Saccharomyces cerevisiae S288C: one gene and its partners. The protein of the gene in region 3 binds, or shares a complex with, the protein of the main gene of each other region. Each region holds a gene or a part of one and is shown on either strand. Other genes may lie near its edges. A codon is read from its position in the direction of its gene.

The links.
Region 1: the proteins of RXT2 (region 3) and RXT3 are in contact, whole or in part, in a cryo-EM structure (PDB 8GA8), measured with the Saccharomyces cerevisiae proteins. Residues at the interface, in NP_009653.2 of Saccharomyces cerevisiae: Tyr54 (codon at 1,634), Ser62 (codon at 1,610), Asn63 (codon at 1,607), Arg64 (codon at 1,604), Gly65 (codon at 1,601), Lys67 (codon at 1,595), Leu68 (codon at 1,592), Ser72 (codon at 1,580), Glu73 (codon at 1,577), Val74 (codon at 1,574), Val75 (codon at 1,571), Thr76 (codon at 1,568), Arg77 (codon at 1,565); in NP_010207.1 of Saccharomyces cerevisiae: Pro125 (codon at 1,013), Leu127 (codon at 1,007), Pro128 (codon at 1,004), Ala129 (codon at 1,001), Arg161 (codon at 905), Asn162 (codon at 902), Glu164 (codon at 896), Trp166 (codon at 890), Ser172 (codon at 872), Asp173 (codon at 869), Asp174 (codon at 866), Tyr239 (codon at 671), Arg250 (codon at 638), Trp252 (codon at 632), Ala256 (codon at 620), Thr257 (codon at 617), Val258 (codon at 614), Ile259 (codon at 611), His260 (codon at 608), Asp261 (codon at 605), Gly262 (codon at 602).
Region 2: RXT2 (region 3) and SDS3 share a complex: the UniProt entries of both Saccharomyces cerevisiae proteins name them as parts of the RPD3C(L) complex.
Region 4: the proteins of RXT2 (region 3) and SIN3 are in contact, whole or in part, in a cryo-EM structure (PDB 8HPO), measured with the Saccharomyces cerevisiae proteins. Residues at the interface, in NP_009653.2 of Saccharomyces cerevisiae: Glu22 (codon at 1,730), Ile25 (codon at 1,721), Ile26 (codon at 1,718), Ser27 (codon at 1,715), Thr28 (codon at 1,712), Phe29 (codon at 1,709), Thr30 (codon at 1,706), Arg31 (codon at 1,703), Arg32 (codon at 1,700), Ile33 (codon at 1,697), Ile34 (codon at 1,694), Lys35 (codon at 1,691), Lys37 (codon at 1,685), Ser38 (codon at 1,682), Tyr41 (codon at 1,673), Pro55 (codon at 1,631), Glu56 (codon at 1,628), Thr58 (codon at 1,622), Gly59 (codon at 1,619), Ile60 (codon at 1,616), Leu69 (codon at 1,589), Arg77 (codon at 1,565), Arg78 (codon at 1,562), Met86 (codon at 1,538), Glu88 (codon at 1,532), Tyr93 (codon at 1,517), Asn94 (codon at 1,514), Arg99 (codon at 1,499), Leu101 (codon at 1,493), Gln102 (codon at 1,490); in NP_014639.1 of Saccharomyces cerevisiae: Pro650 (codon at 3,240), Thr653 (codon at 3,231), Glu654 (codon at 3,228), Ile656 (codon at 3,222), Asn658 (codon at 3,216), Asn659 (codon at 3,213), Ile660 (codon at 3,210), Ser661 (codon at 3,207), Leu662 (codon at 3,204), Glu665 (codon at 3,195), Phe669 (codon at 3,183), Tyr682 (codon at 3,144), Leu686 (codon at 3,132), Leu689 (codon at 3,123), Asn690 (codon at 3,120), Tyr692 (codon at 3,114), Ser693 (codon at 3,111), Asp695 (codon at 3,105), Leu702 (codon at 3,084), Phe720 (codon at 3,030), Phe723 (codon at 3,021), Val724 (codon at 3,018), Arg742 (codon at 2,964), Trp788 (codon at 2,826), His798 (codon at 2,796), Arg799 (codon at 2,793), Lys800 (codon at 2,790), Gln802 (codon at 2,784), Glu805 (codon at 2,775), Thr806 (codon at 2,772).

What each region holds. Positions count from the first base shown.
Region 1 is NC_001136.10:320,168-323,609, forward strand, and holds RXT3 (Rxt3p), read right to left. Parts: upstream 1,386-3,442; coding exon 501-1,385; downstream 1-500. Other genes in the region: 60S ribosomal protein eL31 RPL31A, read left to right, coding at 2,059-2,115, 2,537-2,821. UniProt on the Saccharomyces cerevisiae protein: Component of the RPD3C(L) histone deacetylase complex (HDAC) responsible for the deacetylation of lysine residues on the N-terminal part of the core histones (H2A, H2B, H3 and H4).
Region 2 is NC_001141.2:201,769-205,259, reverse strand, and holds SDS3 (Sds3p), read left to right. Parts: upstream 1-2,000; coding exon 2,001-2,984; downstream 2,985-3,491. Other genes in the region: phosphopantothenate--cysteine ligase CAB2, read left to right, coding at 607-1,704; KTR7 (putative mannosyltransferase), read left to right, coding at 3,217-3,491. UniProt on the Saccharomyces cerevisiae protein: Component of the RPD3C(L) histone deacetylase complex (HDAC) responsible for the deacetylation of lysine residues on the N-terminal part of the core histones (H2A, H2B, H3 and H4).
Region 3 is NC_001134.8:433,906-437,258, forward strand, and holds RXT2 (Rxt2p), read right to left. Parts: upstream 1,794-3,353; coding exon 501-1,793; downstream 1-500. Other genes in the region: PBY1 (putative tubulin tyrosine ligase), read left to right, coding at 1-392; YBR096W (uncharacterized protein), read left to right, coding at 2,116-2,808; ubiquitin-binding serine/threonine protein kinase VPS15, read left to right, coding at 3,046-3,353. UniProt on the Saccharomyces cerevisiae protein: Component of the RPD3C(L) histone deacetylase complex (HDAC) responsible for the deacetylation of lysine residues on the N-terminal part of the core histones (H2A, H2B, H3 and H4).
Region 4 is NC_001147.6:315,027-322,124, reverse strand, and holds SIN3 (transcriptional regulator SIN3), read right to left. Parts: upstream 5,188-7,098; coding exon 577-5,187; downstream 1-576. Other genes in the region: palmitoyltransferase PFA4, read left to right, coding at 1-267; DNA-directed RNA polymerase II core subunit RPB11, read left to right, coding at 5,950-6,312; TOP1 (DNA topoisomerase 1), read left to right, coding at 6,738-7,098. UniProt on the Saccharomyces cerevisiae protein: Catalytic component of the RPD3 histone deacetylase complexes RPD3C(L) and RPD3C(S) responsible for the deacetylation of lysine residues on the N-terminal part of the core histones (H2A, H2B, H3 and H4).

The DNA of each region.
Region 1 (3,442 bases), on a different chromosome or scaffold from region 3:
TATAAGACCCGTCCGGTTGAAAAGATAATTGAACAGCCGTAAACCTAATTACAGGAATCGCTCTCAATTGGTAAGATTTACACGATTAGAGCTTGACTTTTGGCAGAGTTTGTCACAGTCCACGTTTTGTTTGGCGCCCTGGGGTCCTTTTCATAAAATATCGTTTACTACCGATTCGGAATTAATATAATCTGAGGGCCCCGAAAATGGCTTAGTTACACATATTATAACCAGTCTAATTAAAAAAGCAAGCACCTAGGACGGCATGTTAATGTATGGAAGAAGAGTATGAATTTGCAGGAGAGTGAGACAACCAAACTATCCAGTTATAGAAACTTATAAAGTGAAGCTTTTGTTATATAGTACAACGCATCGTATATTCCTCAAAGCAATAATACAGAAGTAGCGCAGCAGAATGATATTTTGAATTAAATTAAATACACACATGGCGCCAACTAAGGTTGGAAGGGAAAGAAGGACGACCAATATTATGTCTTTCCTTAGGTCCATTTTAAATTTTTAATATACCCGTTTGGTTCATGAGGTTTATCTCTATCTAGTCTTTGCTTAATGACAATACTATAGATACCGTAACTCAGTCCATCGTGTATAACGGTGGCTTCCGATCCCCATTCCCGCGATGTTATATCAAATCTTTTTACGCTAGGATACTTTTGTAGAGTAGGCAAAAACAACAACTCCACCTCTAGATCAAAAGGTGTGCCTTCCAGTAGGGGAAGGTTACCTGTAACATTATCTTGATTAGTTACATTTACAGGGGTTCTTCTCAATTTGTGAAATGAGCCACCAGAAGGCGCTCCAATTTTGAACCCGCAATGTCTTAAAACTAGTATTGGGTCTGAGTCATCAGAATAGATATCACATCCCCATATCTCATTATTTCTCTTTCTAGGAGATTCTATATTATTGAAACTTGCCTGAATATCTTCATATGTTATTTTTAGCGTTGCAATATTATTGATATTTTGAATACCGATAGCTGGAAGGAACGGTGGTGGAAGAGTGTTGTCATAAAGGTTGTATGGAAAACTGTGCCTGTCTGAGTAACTTGTGGAGTCTTCATCAAAAGACCCTTCTTTGAAACGATTGTAATAAAGTGTACCCAAGTTTTTTAACTTGTTTGGATAGTGTTTCTCAGTGAAAGCAAGAACCGACTGTGAACTTACATTAGGCAGGTCGTAGGCCGAATTTCTGCCGTTTTGGTAATGCATATACTGCTCTGGAAAAGAATGGGTGTTGCTTTCTTGTCCCTCCTCTTGCTTATTTTTTGTTCTCGCCGAATTTAGTAGTGTTTCCTGTAGTTTATATATCTGGGATTGAGTCTCTCTGTACGCCCTATTAGGATCTTGTTCGCTTACCGACATTTTTATCTTATATTGTATTGTTACTTCTCTCAAAAAAAAAACTGCGAGTAAATTTTCCCTTACCTTCGTACTAAAATACCGTTATTTGTCAAAACGCTGTCATGGAATTCTATAGCACTTGATGCCGGAATGGAGATGCTTATTCTTGTGTTCTACATTCATGAAGTGCTGATACTATATTTTGTTTTCCCGAACCTCTCCCCTTCTGGGCCCTTTTTCCATTATTCACAATATTTTCATACCTTTACCTCCGTACACCAATCTTTATTTTTACCCCCATACCTTTGTATTCTGAAATTGAGAAATGATTTGTGGTGCTTTTTTTTTTGGACAATCTGCCTTCGTGGACAGTTTTGAAACGCTAGGCGACAGTTTTGCAACGGAAGGAAGTGGGAGAGCCCAGAAAGGCTTTCTCTCGATGGTGGATCATTCTTGCGCAGGCGGAGGATGGGAAAGCTCCGTTCAGGTTTGCGGCTTTTCTTTCTGGCATTTTCGTTCTCCCAACTGCGCAGGCAGACATAGCTTGACTTTACTCATGCTCGCATTAGGCGGGTTGAATCTCATAGCTTGAAAGATAGTATTGAATTATATTGAAGATTTTATAACTAGTGATAATTTCATTCAAGTTTTAAAGAAAGAATTAATAAGCAAACAGAACTCAATCAAAGGAAAAATGGCCGGTTTGAAAGACGTTGTCACTCGTGAATACACCATTAACTTGCACAAAAGAGTATGTGAAAGAATAAAAATATAATGCCCAAGGGCTTGTCATCTGAATGGTTAATTAAGAAGATATTTCTATAGTCAAGGAATACAATATCAAGAATTTGTACCACAGAAACCTATCAACAAAGATCATTGATCAAGATATATTTTATAATACGGAATTTGAAGACCATAATCAATATTATAACATCCAAGAGGGGAAAGATACACTTCGGCTGGACTTAAAGAGCGATGAAGACAGAAATAGTTATCTTAAATAGTGGAATCCTAGATTTTAAGTCGACAATTATCCATATCCCAAGTTTGACTAAATATGAATCAGAACAAATTGGGTCTCCAATATACAAAACCATTCATCAAGATTACACTAATATTAAAATGAACAATCGTTACTAACAAAAAATTTACCATTTTATTTTTAATAGTTGCACGGTGTCTCCTTCAAGAAGAGAGCTCCAAGAGCTGTCAAGGAAATTAAGAAGTTCGCCAAGTTACACATGGGTACTGATGATGTCCGTCTAGCTCCAGAATTGAACCAAGCTATCTGGAAGAGAGGTGTCAAGGGTGTTGAATACAGATTAAGATTGAGAATTTCCAGAAAGAGAAACGAAGAAGAAGACGCCAAGAACCCATTGTTCTCCTACGTTGAACCTGTCTTAGTTGCTTCTGCCAAGGGTCTACAAACTGTTGTTGTCGAAGAAGATGCTTAAATCAATTAAATAAAAATAATACTCATTTTATATTAATAAATATAAAGTAAACATTTTCGATTTGTATAAATCTCTTGTACTCAAGCCAAGACTTCTGTATTCATTGAAGCGGGGCACTCAGATCAATTTTTATCAATGATATCATCTGCTACGCTTGTACAAAGGGTTACCTTCGAATTATTTAAAAGATGCAAGTCTACGTATAAGTGAAGGCGATAAAAATGGATAAATCAGTGTAACTATGACTATAAGGTTATGTTGGCCACTCATCACATTAAAAGACTCCCAATATTCTCCAACAGAAACGAAGTATACCGTGCGTCTGATTATGGTCCACCAGAACGATGAGATCATAAAGACACAAAGTAAATGAGAAGTTTTACAATATTGAAAAAATACTGTAAAAGGATGGTCTTAAAAAGTAGTTTTGAAGTACTTCTGTTCTTAATAGACCAACGGAAAATTAAAATCTTCATCATTAAAAGTCCATAATTCATTCGCTTTCAGCAAAACATAGAGCAGCAAGAAGCTAAAGAAATGACAAGAACTATCGGCAGAGTGAACTCACTATACCATTAATCTTATCACCCGTTTATAAATCTATTCTTGTCCTTTCCAGTT
Region 2 (3,491 bases), on a different chromosome or scaffold from region 3:
CGTATTGTCATACTGACATATCTCATTTTGAGATACAACATGTTCCATGATATGGAAAAACGTATACCAGTGCTACAAACCCTGTTAACAATTAAATTCTTATTACTTCTTGCACAAAGATGCTAACACTTTACAGCTTTGAAAGTAACAGGAAGAAGTGATGCTGTGACAATTAACAGGGTATTTTTTTTTTCACTTCTACTTAAATCGGAGTTACAATTTATGATAAAAAAATCAAGAAAAAAACCTGATTATGCTAAGAAAGTAGAGGCGACGATGACCACCTATGGCCTAACCTAACTATGAACAGATGGTAGGCTCTAAATTGCGTGCCTGAAATCTGCGGATTTGATATGTAGGCGATGTTTTGGGTATTTTCCACCAACTTTATTGGCAAGGGAAGAATTCGATGACCCGAATTCGCCAAACGACAAAAACTGGAGGAGTGACCTATTGTTAACGTTTTTTTTTTTTTTTTAAAGGCATTGTCATCAACAGGACATCTGTATAAGAGGCTAAGACAATTACGCACACAACGCTTTTATTAGTTGTCATAAACTGTGTAGATTAGCAGCAGACACTCCTTTTTTTCTTCATACTATAGCAATGCCACCTCTACCCGTGCTCAACAGACCTCAAATTCATACGTCTGTTACTGAAATAAGTCATGCAATTGATCGTACAATCAAGGAAGAGCTCTTTCCCGTTGCCTACACTACTGAAGAAGAGCAATATTTCAAAACTAACCCTAAACCTGCCTATATCGATGAATTGATTAAGGACGCTAAAGAGTTTATTGATTTGCAGTATTCCCTGAAAAGGAACAAAATAGTTCTTATCACCTCTGGTGGTACTACTGTTCCATTGGAAAACAATACAGTACGTTTTATCGATAATTTTTCTGCAGGTACTCGTGGTGCATCGAGTGCTGAACAGTTCTTAGCGAACGGATATAGTGTTATTTTCTTACATAGGGAATTCTCATTAACTCCGTATAATAGGTCCTTCTCCCATAGCATTAATACTTTATTCTTGGACTACATTGATTCTGAAGGTAAAATCAAACCTGAATTTGCTGAGAATGTTTTGAAGAACAAAAAGCTTTATGACAAGTATATGGAGAAAGAGGAGAAACTACTTTTACTACCATTCACCACGGTCAACCAATACTTATGGTCACTGAAAAGTATAGCCAAGCTATTGAATAATAGTGGTTGCTTGTTTTATTTAGCTGCTGCTGTCAGTGATTTTTTTGTTCCATATTCAAGACTACCTCAGCACAAGATTCAATCAGGAGACAACGGTAAGATGGGAGCAAATAATGACACTGAAGGTACAACTAGGACTACGCCTGATGGTAAACTGATTGTGAATCTTGACCCTGTCCCTAAGTTTTTGAGAAGATTAGTGGAATCATGGGCCACTCAAGCGATGATCGTTTCGTTCAAATTAGAAACTGATGAATCCATGCTGCTTTACAAATGTACACAAGCCCTGGATAGATACAACCATCAACTGGTTATCGGAAACCTTTTACAGACAAGAAACAAACAGGTCATTTTCGTATCCCCTGAAAACAGAAAGGGAGATTGGGTACGTTTGGATGAAAAACACCATAGCATTGAAGAGATGATAATCCCAGAAGTCATCGCACGCCATGACAAATGGGTGGCGCATTCGAAAACTAAGCTAGCTACGAAATAAAACATAGCTCTTGTCTGTAATCAAAAAAATTTGCGTCAAAAAAAAAAATTAGATGTATGTAAACCTTTTTATTGAACTGAAAATTTATCTTTTATCAAATCTTTTTCTTCTATGCCTTAATTATGTTTTCAGGTATCTTTTTTCTCATTATTTAATTTAGCTTATGTATTGATCATTTCGCTTGAGATTTCAGGAAGAAAAAACGCAAACAATTTTTCAGCTAAAATGAACCCTTGGAAAAGCTTTAAGAGAACAAGAGAAACTGTAGAGCTCAGTGTGCATTGTCTTCAAGATTGATGGCTATTCAAAAGGTTAGTAACAAGGACTTGTCCCGCAAGGACAAAAGAAGATTTAATATCGAATCTAAAGTTAATAAGATTTATCAAAATTTTTACTCAGAAAGAGATAATCAATATAAAGATAGACTGACAGCATTGCAAACGGATTTAACTTCTCTGCATCAAGGTGATAATGGCCAATATGCCCGCCAAGTACGAGATTTGGAGGAAGAAAGAGATCTAGAGTTAGTCAGGTTGCGCCTGTTTGAAGAGTACCGTGTTTCTCGTTCCGGTATCGAATTTCAAGAAGATATTGAAAAGGCTAAGGCTGAACACGAGAAACTCATTAAATTATGCAAAGAAAGACTGTATTCGTCTATAGAGCAAAAAATAAAGAAATTACAGGAGGAGAGGTTACTAATGGATGTGGCCAATGTGCACTCCTATGCCATGAATTATAGCAGACCGCAATACCAGAAGAACACGAGAAGTCACACAGTAAGTGGTTGGGATTCTTCGTCCAACGAATATGGAAGAGATACAGCAAACGAAAGTGCTACTGACACGGGAGCTGGAAACGATAGAAGAACGCTAAGGAGAAGGAATGCTTCTAAAGACACGAGAGGTAACAACAACAATCAAGATGAATCTGATTTTCAAACTGGTAATGGTTCTGGAAGTAATGGCCATGGTTCTAGACAAGGGTCGCAATTCCCCCATTTCAACAACCTAACCTACAAGTCAGGCATGAACTCTGACTCAGATTTTCTACAAGGTATAAATGAAGGTACTGATCTATATGCATTTTTGTTTGGCGAAAAGAACCCCAAAGACAATGCTAATGGGAATGAAAAGAAAAAAAACCGTGGTGCTCAACGATATTCCACCAAAACAGCTCCACCTTTACAGTCTTTGAAACCAGATGAGGTCACAGAGGATATTTCCTTGATCAGAGAATTAACAGGTCAGCCTCCGGCTCCTTTCAGACTAAGGTCTGACTAATTTATTTTATGCTGCAAACCTTCCACTTTAACTTTGTATTATATTACATTAGATGGTTATATTTCAATGTGAGCTCTTTTTGTTTTTGCTTTCTTTTCTCGGATACAAGTGGAAAACGAAAAAAAAAAATTGGCTAAAATTTACTGTATACATCAGGCTAACAATCTGTGATTATAGGCACAGTTGTACCAAAGAAGGGCTAGAATATACATCATAATTAGATGCAATTAGCATGGCTATAAGATTGAATCCAAAAGTCAGAAGGTTCTTGCTGGATAAGTGTCGACAAAAACGATATGGTTTCCTCTTTTTAGGATGTATCTTCGCCATACTTTACTGTATGGGGACCTGGCCATTTTTCGCAAAAGATATTGTACATGATCCAAATAATTTGCCTTATTCCTTACAGGATTATTCGACTGACAAAGACGAGCCATTTTTCCGGGGCTGCACTGATACAAAGCTGTACTTGCAAAATCCTGCTTACTCCAAAATGAACGCATCTTT
Region 3 (3,353 bases):
ATTCTTCTGTTTTGGAGTTTGACTCCATAGAGGAAATTCCAAATGAGAGAAAGTCCAATATTAAGGAGCAAATCCATAGCATAACGAACGACGTTTTCTTAGCTGCTGTAAATGTAAATAGATTAAACTTCCAACCGTTACCAAACGCATTTGAAACATATGGCGTAGACTTTTTGATTGATTCGAATTACGAAGTTAAATTACTAGAGATCAACGCTTTCCCAGACTTCAAACAAACTGGGAAAGATTTGAAGAACCTCATTGATGAATTATTTGATGACACTGTCAAATACTGTGTTACCCCCATCTTTAACGAGAATAGAAATAAGACAGATGATGAAACAGACCCGAACTTCGTAAAAGTCATTGATTACACTTCAAACGGTTGGTGAAACAAAAAAAAAAAAAGAACCCATCCTAAAATACTGTTATTATTACTAAATAGTGCTAAATAATACATATGCCTTGATTTTATTTCCGAAATTTTTTGTTTTGTCAATTTAGGCTCTATTAGCTTCTTCATCAGGTTCATTATCGTCTACAACACCGTCTTCCATGGTATTTTCAATTTCTTCCTCAAAATTTGTTGTCTTATTTGTTGTAGCACTGATCAGACCTCTCTTCACAACACGTAGAGCCACCGGGATAGTAATATCATCGTCAGATATACCCAAATATTCCCGACTCCAATTTAAAATCCTACCTCTTATTCTATTGGCTTTTATTACAGACTTTCTGATTTTTTGTAAGTTTCTTATGAATTCTTTATTCCTCTGTAGTGCAATCTGCGACAGCTGTCGGGCAGACTCAATTTCCTCATTTAACTGTTGTTGTTCGGCCGCTGTTAATGTTGATATAGAAGCAGAACCGGAAGAAGATGGCAGCAACGATAACAGCGCATTAGATTGTTCCAACCTTGGCAATGCAAAAAAAGGATCTTCCTCTCCAAATTCTTCCATGCCATTATTGATATGACCAGCTTCAGTAGACAAACTATTCGAGTTAACCTCGTTGATATTGTTTTTGTTGTTAATGTCATCCTCGTCGCTTGCCCCTCTATCCTCTGGAAGGGTCAAATTGTGATTATAAGATGGTAGGTTCAAGTTAGATTCATAAATTGGTTCAGGATGATCTCCTAAAAAAACCTCCAAAAACTGGGAATATCTAACAACTGACATCTGTTCTTTTTCAATCATTAGAATTATTTGCAAGGCTAAATTTTTCAAAATTGGGCTTGAAAATGTCCTTGAGATAGTTTTATGATTTATTATATCCCCTAGGGAAAGAATGGGAGTCAAAATCTCCTTTACATTCACTAGTTTTGATAGGTCGTCATCGTCTTCTTCGCCGTAATACTCATCAGTGATATTTTCGTCTTCCTTCTCACTACCATCGATGTCGTTTTCATCACCGACTAAAACAGGCTCGACGTTGATGTCAGGTGTGAATTTTATTCTTTTGCGTCTACTATCAGTGACAATATTTGTTTGCAGAAGGCGATGCTCCGAACCGTTATAGAACACAGTTTGCTCAATCATTGGCTTAGAATTGTTCAAGTCTCTTCTTGTTACTACTTCGCTTCTCTGCAAAAGTTTGTTACCTCTGTTAGAGGATATGCCAGTGGCCTCAGGATAGATTAGTTTTCCATCAAGGGATCTTTTCAGTACCTGATAGTTACCGCTTTTTTCCTTTATTATCCTTCTAGTAAATGTGCTAATTATATTCGATTCATTAGCTAACACACTCTTGCTTTCCAATTCTGCGTTGTTTTTCATACTGCTCCTAATAGTCATCTCGATCAACAAGAAGCAACAGCTGAGATATTTGTTTCTCAACCTCTTTTTTGCAGGAGATGCTGTCATCAAGCAACGTTTCTTCTATTTGAAAGCGATTGTTTTACCAGAACAAAGTTCGCTACCCGGCTTCGGTCCTCTTGGGTATAGGAGACAATAATGATCTTCGAATAACGCCGTTATAAAGTGAACATTATAATTATCCGCTTAAAGGCTTTTTAGTAATTTTGTAAAACAATTGCTTCTAATTTCAAGACTTCCAAAAGGTTTCTCGAGTAACTAGTGCTTTCCAATATCTACAACAAAATAAAATAATAGAATAATGGGTGTTTGCACTATTTTTAGGTGGCTCTTTGCTGCTTACTTGCTCTCTTCATATAAGTCGCTTCCTGGGGCATATTTTGTTAGGTTTTATTATTATGTTATTCAAAACTTGTTCTTGCCTATGTTTACAGGGTTTGAAACCGAGAATATTAAGAAACTTGAGAAAAATGAATATGGCTGTTTCTCGTACACCAGCCTAGATACCTATGCCTCTCCATTCGAATGTGACTTCTACTTTCATAAGAGCAATAGCACCTATTTTGCGGAATTGGACATTTCAAGAGGTAATCTCATGTGCAAGATTTTTCAAAAATTGATGCTGAATTCCAAGCATTATCCATATATTCCAGTTGCGAACGTTTTCACTAATTTCTTGAAGGAAATCAAGCCTTTTCAAAAGTACTCGGTTTCATCAAGGATTATCTGTTGGGATGAGAAATGGATTTACGTCATGAGTAGATTCACAATTAAAAAGGGCACCGTCTTATGCTCATTATCATTGACCAAATACGTCCTTAAGGACGGTAGAAAGACCATCAAACCAAAGGATGCTCTTGAATACTGTGGTTTATATAATGAGAAGGTCGCCAAAATTTCTGAGGACAATCTAAAGCTTTTAACCGAGCGTTGTGGTTTCCACGAGACAGTACCATTGGAAAACTTGAGCCAAGAGTACTGTTCAGAAATCTAACTTCTATACACATATAGCCGGTATTATAAAATATATAAATCTATCTTCTTTCAAAAGTTTCTCTGTGCAGTCTGCGTTATATTTTATCTTCGGTAGAAAACAAGGTAAATTTCCCTTATTTTTCAACATCATAAAAATGAAAAACAGATATATCTTAAGTAAGATACTTAAGCAGACAAGTTGAATTGGAGAAATACAAAAGCTGTAAGGTTATCAAAAAGGAAGGCATACAGTATAATGGGGGCACAATTATCACTAGTGGTCCAAGCATCACCTTCCATAGCCATTTTTTCATATATCGATGTCTTAGAGGAAGTACACTACGTTTCACAGTTAAACTCATCAAGATTCTTAAAAACATGCAAGGCACTGGACCCTAACGGCGAAATTGTTATCAAAGTGTTTATTAAACCAAAAGACCAATATAGCTTACGACCTTTTCTCCAACGTATAAGGGCTCAATCGTTTAAGTTGGGACAACTACCGCACGTTTTAAACTACAGTAAATTGATCGAGACAAATAGAGCCGGCTACATGATACGGCA
Region 4 (7,098 bases), on a different chromosome or scaffold from region 3:
AATTTTCCAAAAAACGGTATTTCAAAATATGAGGCTAACTCCTCATTGGAAGACCACATCCTTTCACTTCCCTGGCCACCAGATGGAGGTAAAACAAACACCGTCTTCAATCATGGCAGCTCAACAATAGAGATGCGTAATGAAAGTGGCGAACAGCTAATAAGGACCAGACTTCCTCAAAATGGCAGACATGCTTCTCGTGAGAAGTGGTACAACGACTGGGGTGAATCACTAGACGATTTTGGAGTGGATGTTGATATGGAATAGAATACTCATTCATGGGAATATCAAGTATATGTATGTATAAACTGTCCCTTATAAATAGTGTCCTTTCGATTACATACTATGCTAATGACGTGTAAAAAGATTCATGCACCAGTGTATGAGTACACAAATATAACCACTGCATGTTATCACTTCTTCCTTTATGGAAAGATCGATGTGTCTTAAAAAGCTTCAAAAACACTTAGAATTTTAAAATTACAATGTTATATCGTTGACATTAATTAAAGGTACACATCAGAAGAAAGACCCTGTCGTACTAAAGATTTTTGTTCTAAATCTAGTTAAAACTACTTATTGAATCTTAGCCCCCTTGTCTGAAGATTCAGTATTCCCAGTCGTTTCTATATTATCATCTTGTGGTACAGTAGTAATGGATGCAGGCAGTACACTTGCAGTAGAGCTGTCCAAATTATCCGACTGCTCCTGTTTCGTAATTTTACCTTTTTCGGTTTCACTCTCTATTCCCTGGTTTCCAGCACTCGTCTTTGCTATGCTGTCTTTTAGGTTCTCCCATTTTTTTTGCATACTTAATTTTTGAGCCTCATCTAAATTATTTCTCAAACCAACTGCACAGTCTAGAAATTTTGATATCAACTCCTTCTTCTGAGAAACCATTCCTTTTTGAGTATTATCATTAGCAATAGTAGGATATTTGTTAGTAGCCTTACGGGTAAAAACATCGTAAGACCCGTTTTCAATATGCAGTTGGTAGGTTATAGGCTGGATCTTAATTTTCAATGTCGATACAGAGATGCCTTCGGGGGAAAACTCCTCATCTACCTCTGTTCCATCAATATCTTGTCCAAATTCGATGAGCCTTTCCAAAAATGGTATCTTCAGTTTCTCGTGCGGAATGCCTTCTGTTGGATGTGGCAGAGCATACGATGTTACATAATATTTCCATTTATCTTCGTCTGCCTTTGGTTCCTTTAGTGTCAAATCATCAAGTGCAATATATTGAATGGAAACATGCAGAGTTCTTTTATCAAACTCTATTCTAAACATATTTTCTGTGTTGGACATATGTGAGCGCACCTGCAAGCGATAGATAATTTGGTCCTTCGCACTCGTGGTGGAGGCATTTCTATCTTTAACGAACAAAGCCATTATTTCCGCAGTTTTAGCGTCAGTCATCAAGGTATGAGCATGCTTTACCAACGATTGGGTGACTTTATCAATTGTATAGAGTTTAAACGCTTTGTTATTGTAAGCTTGCCGCAAACTCTCTTCAAACCACTGATGTTCAAGATCCCCATTAATCAACCTTCTACTCAGTCTTAAAACCTGTTTGTACGCGTCTTCACCAACAAAATCTAGTCCCATTTCGGAAAGTTGACTCGATAATAAATCTAGATCTTTGGCAAAAGTAACTGTCGACCTTGTGTTGATTTCCTTTGTGACCCTTTCATTCATTTGCTTAATTTCCAAAAGCCGCTCATAAATCGTTGTCCAATGACGGAAAAATATGTAAATATTCGTATTAGCGAATAGATTAAAAATACTGCGATTTTGGATAATACCCTGAGAGTTTGCTTCCTCCACTAAATTCCCAGTTAGCCACGGATTTTTAGCTTCTTCATCGATGAGCTCTTCCTCCTCAATGGTATTAGGTTCTTCTTCGGGTGGTTCAGAGAGCTGGGGAACTTTGCCATCTTCATCATTAGAACGCTTTAGCTTTTGATATCTGCTCCTGTGTAAAATATCAAGTAAACTCATTTCTTGTTGATAGGGCCTCTTCCTTGATGCAATAGAACTGCCATCGTCAGATCCGCTAGATTCTGACACGTTTTGCTTATGGGAGTACAACGATTCTTCGATTTTTTCGAAAGAAATAGAAAAAAACAAAGAGATGAAGTATTTTAGTAAATCTTTCAATCTTTCTTTATCGGGATTAGAATAGGCTGTGGTATGGGTTATAAAAGTGTCAGCCAAACACAAGATATCATAGAAAATGTTTTTATCAGGGAAATCAAAATCTAACTGGCTCTTTGGTTTAGGAGTTAACCAGTGAATTTTTTTGTTTGTTTGATCAACTTTGATGCTGCTAATCTCTGATATCAACTGCTTTGTAGTTAATAATTTCTTGTCAGCCTGTTTAAATGTTAAGCCTAAATGATCTAATGACTTGAAAAAAACCTTCTGTTCTAACTCCCTCCAAACTTTATTCCATTCACGTTGAGCTCTTCTCCATTCTTCGTCTTTTTGCTTTAACCTTTTCAGAACGACTGGGGCTGTCACTGCAGGGTGCTCATGCAAAGCATCAATAATCTCGAACCCCCTTTCCTTATCATAAACTTTCCTTATCACTTTTTTATAAATAGTCATTGAAGTATGGCCAAGACCTGGAGGCAGTTTAAAATTGGCTTTTTCATTCTCAGTCATGTTCTCGATCTTATTTACAATTGTTTCCAAACATTGAATAGTTCTTAAATTTGATTCAATGTAAAAATCATACTCATGTCTTTCCTCTTCGATCTTGAATAGTGTTTCCTCATACTGGTTTTTACGATGAGCAATAAATCCCGAATCTTCGGAAGCCCATACAGGATGTCCAACCCATTCATCGTTCAAGACTTCCCAACACATATCATCCCTACCTGAGCATGGCATGAAAGTGTCACTTTTTGGTAGCCTCTTGTAACTTGGGCCAAATGCCTCACATAAATCTAAATCCAATCTATGTTTTTCATGAACAATATTCTCGATACATTTGGTTTTTTCTTGGTAGCCAACAAAGTTTTTGAACCACGTAAATAGTTCTTTATTGGAACCCAAGTAGAAATCTACCTTTTCCACTAAATCGTCAAGATCAAGTATATCTTGAGAGTACAAATTTAAAATTTTCAAAAACTCAGTGTATAAATGTTTATTGCCGATATACCTCTTGGCCTTTTCGAAGAAAGTGACTTCCTCATTAAGCGATATATTGTTTTCGATGGGCTCAGTGGGTTCAGGGACCACAGGCACAATGCTAGGATCTAAATCAATTTCCGGTCTAACAGGGATATCACCATACTGCGTATTTGCTATAGGACTAATACTTTGCGGGTGCTGCTGCTGATGTTGTATACTAGAAGGAGCGTACTGTTCAGTGAGAGACGTTCTTAGATCTGATAGAGGTGGATTTTCATTCGCTATCCCTTGATGTACCATATTTGGCCCGTGTTGAACGATCGATGGTAAGGGCATGAAGTGGGGTGGTTGCATGTGCTGTTGATCCTGATAGGCTTCATGTACGGTCGAACCGTTTGTTGGAGGCGAGAAGCTTCCTATAGGAGGCAAGTTTTGCTGTGGAATACCTCGGTTAGAAGGATGGCCGTAATAGCCCGAAGCTGGATACAAGAATTGCTGTTGCTGCTTCTGTTGTTCCACCTGTGCCTGTGCCTGAGCCTGAGCTTGTGCCTGTGCATGCATTTGGGCCTCATGTTGTTGTTGAGCATGTTGCTGAGCATGTTGCACCTGCTGATTGGCAGAAGCTGAAGAGTCCGGCAAGAATTTCTTGAAATCTTCTAGTAAATCAGGAGCATTTTGGAAAAGATGCGTCACTTGTGCGTAGACTTCGTTTATTGGCTTTTGCTCTCGCTGATAAGTTTGTAGTATTTCCAGAAAATGCTTGTAAATATCAGGTTGGTCGGCAAATCTAGTTTTAATTTTATTAACGTAGCTTATGGCTTGACTAAATTCGACATCAACGTTTTTCTTAGCATCTTCTTGAGGCACTAAAGATTGACTTTGTGGGATTTGGCGATGTGCAGGCATTTCAGGTTGTTGAATTGAAGGTAAACCAGAAGAAGTAGCTAAAAGAGGCAAAGATTGTTGTTGGTCTTGGTTTTGTTCCGATTGATACACACTCGAAGGCACCATTGGCACATTGGAGGGCTGTTGAACACCATTTCCATCGCTTTCTGGAAAAGAACCAAGTTCCTGTGCATCCGTTGTACCTCTACCAGATGGACTGATGTTATTGTTTACTGTCGTAGTACCCATTGGTGTAGTAACTCTAATGGGGTCGTCCGGATTAGAGGAGCATTCGATTCTATAGCCTTGGGGTAGAAAAGTATTGAACCCTTGAATCAAAATTGGATAACCTCTGAACAAAGTGGATACTCTTTCAATAACGCCCGGTGTGTCTATTGCCTGAGATTTAAAGTCCTTCATAATATCTAAAAATAAATTATAGATATCCGGACGCGAACTAAATTGAAATTTGACCTGTTCGAGGTAAGATAGGGCATCCTTCACGTTTAGAGGTCTGTAGTCAGCATCTTCATCGTGAGAATTTTCGTTGTTATTATTGTCATCGTTAGCATCTGCATGGTTGCTGCTAGGGTCAGGGGCATCAGCAGGCTGCACACCAGCGGGAACTTCCTTGCAATCTTGAGGCCGTTGCGTCGCCTTTTCTTCTTCCTGAAGACCATTATAACTTTTTGGTTCCTCTGTATGAACAGGAGCTTTTATCGGTAATGGATTGTCAAATCTCGACAAAGAAAAACTGGCGGCTCCCACTGTGGGGAGGGGAGCTGGACCAGCATTCATAAGCGAAGCGTTTATAGAGGGAGAAGAGGACGAAGATTTAGGGCGAGGGTGATACTCGTGGGGCTGTTTCAATGCTGAATCAGTTGCAATTGAGGGCATAGCATTTGAATGTGGGGGAGGATAACCTAATATGTGAGCAGCATGAGAAGTTAGAGCCTGTTGGCCATTGGAATCTCTTCTATCTTCCTCCTTAGTACTCAAGGCAGATAGCGAGGGTAAAGTAATCCGTTGCTGCTGTTGAACAAAACCGGGCTTATTTCCCTGGAGGGACGGTTCTTTTTCGTTTCTTTCGTTGGAACCCGTAGCGTCATTTGAAGTAGCCACATCGTTTGATTGCGAATTCGAATTATGCCAAACCTGTGACATTTTTGTACAATGTATAACTTGTTTCTTAGATATTTTGTCCTTTTCCAAATAACCTCAAACGAACACAACAAAAGGGTAAAGAGACTATACTGAAAGCGGTCAATAGCGTAGCCTGTTGTGGAGGGAGGGAAGTAACAAAGAATATGTGGTACGTGAATGAGCTGATTAGTTAGGTACGGTGCCTCGAATATTAGCAATGCTGGTGCGAAAAAGGGAAGACAAATGTAATAGGGAAGGGGAGTAACCGTTGTTTTGCAAATCACGTTTGCTGAAGAACTGCAAAATGAAGGCGACTTTTTTGCGAATGGAAAAAAATCACTAGAAAATCCGATATCATTACCCGTACTGGTTTATTCTACGTTACACGGGTAACCCCGCAGTGTGTGCCACACTCTGGGCAGCGCGTAACAACAGTAGTTACAAGACTGGAGTAGAAGATAGATTTTTTAAATTATAAACAGAATTTACAGACTACTGGAGAGGGATCACGGTAAGCCTCGTCGGTAAGCCTCGTCGGTAAGCCTCGTCGGTAGATCCGTGTCATGTCATGGATAATGCTGCTATCCGAGTTCAAAAAACTTGCAAGCTCAATATTATCATTACCCGGACTTAATAAAGTGGAAGTGTCCGCGAAAATTCTAGGTTCACTGCTTTGGCACACACAAGAGGTCCGTTAAAAGAAGAGCGAGAGAACTGAGCCGTGCAGCCTAAATAGATAGCTACGTAGCCACCAAACCAGATACATTTGGACACAACTGCATCATGAATGCTCCAGACAGATTCGAACTGTTCCTTCTGGGTGAAGGGGAATCCAAGCTAAAGATTGACCCCGACACCAAAGCCCCCAACGCAGTAGTGATAACGTTTGAGAAGGAGGACCACACGTTGGGAAACCTGATTCGTGCAGAACTTCTGAACGACAGAAAAGTGCTGTTTGCCGCTTACAAGGTTGAGCATCCCTTCTTCGCTCGTTTCAAGCTGAGAATACAGACCACCGAGGGCTACGACCCGAAGGATGCCTTGAAAAACGCCTGTAACAGCATCATTAACAAGCTTGGCGCCCTGAAGACAAATTTCGAAACCGAGTGGAACCTGCAAACTCTAGCCGCCGACGACGCATTTTGATATATAGGAGTTTAATACTATAGCCATAAAATCTAAACAGAATGGAAACGGACATACACATAATATACGCTCATATATATTTATACATAACTTCAATGTCTTGAACACGTAAATTTTAGTGTGAGAAACCTTTTTCACTCCGGGTAATACCTGCTGTAGTCTTCAAAAAAAAAAAAAAAAAAGAAAAAAAACCAGCCATGGAAAGCTCTTTATTTTTTTACTTTACGGCTTTTTTCCCTTTTCTTATATGATCGATGCACGTAAAGAACAACTGTATTTTTTTGTTTCAACACTAACACGAGCGCAATATTCTTTTTTGTTTTCTCTGTTACTCTAATTACCTGAGTCCTATTCTTATAGTATTAAAACAGCAAATAAAAAAAATCTAAAGGGAGGGCAGAGCTCGAAACTTGAAACGCGTAAAAATGACTATTGCTGATGCTTCCAAAGTTAATCATGAGTTGTCTTCTGATGACGATGACGATGTGCCATTATCTCAAACTTTAAAAAAAAGAAAGGTGGCGTCCATGAACTCTGCCTCTCTTCAAGACGAAGCGGAACCTTATGATAGTGATGAGGCAATCTCTAAGATTTCCAAGAAAAAGACTAAGAAAATAAAGACCGAACCAGTGCAATCGTCGTCATTACCATCGCCTCCAGCAAAGAAAAGCGCGACATCAAAGCCTAAAAAAATCAAGAAAGAAGATGGTGATGTAAAGGTAAAAACAACTAAAAAGGAAGAACAGGAGAACGAAAAAAAGAAACGAGAAGAAGAAGAAGAGGAGG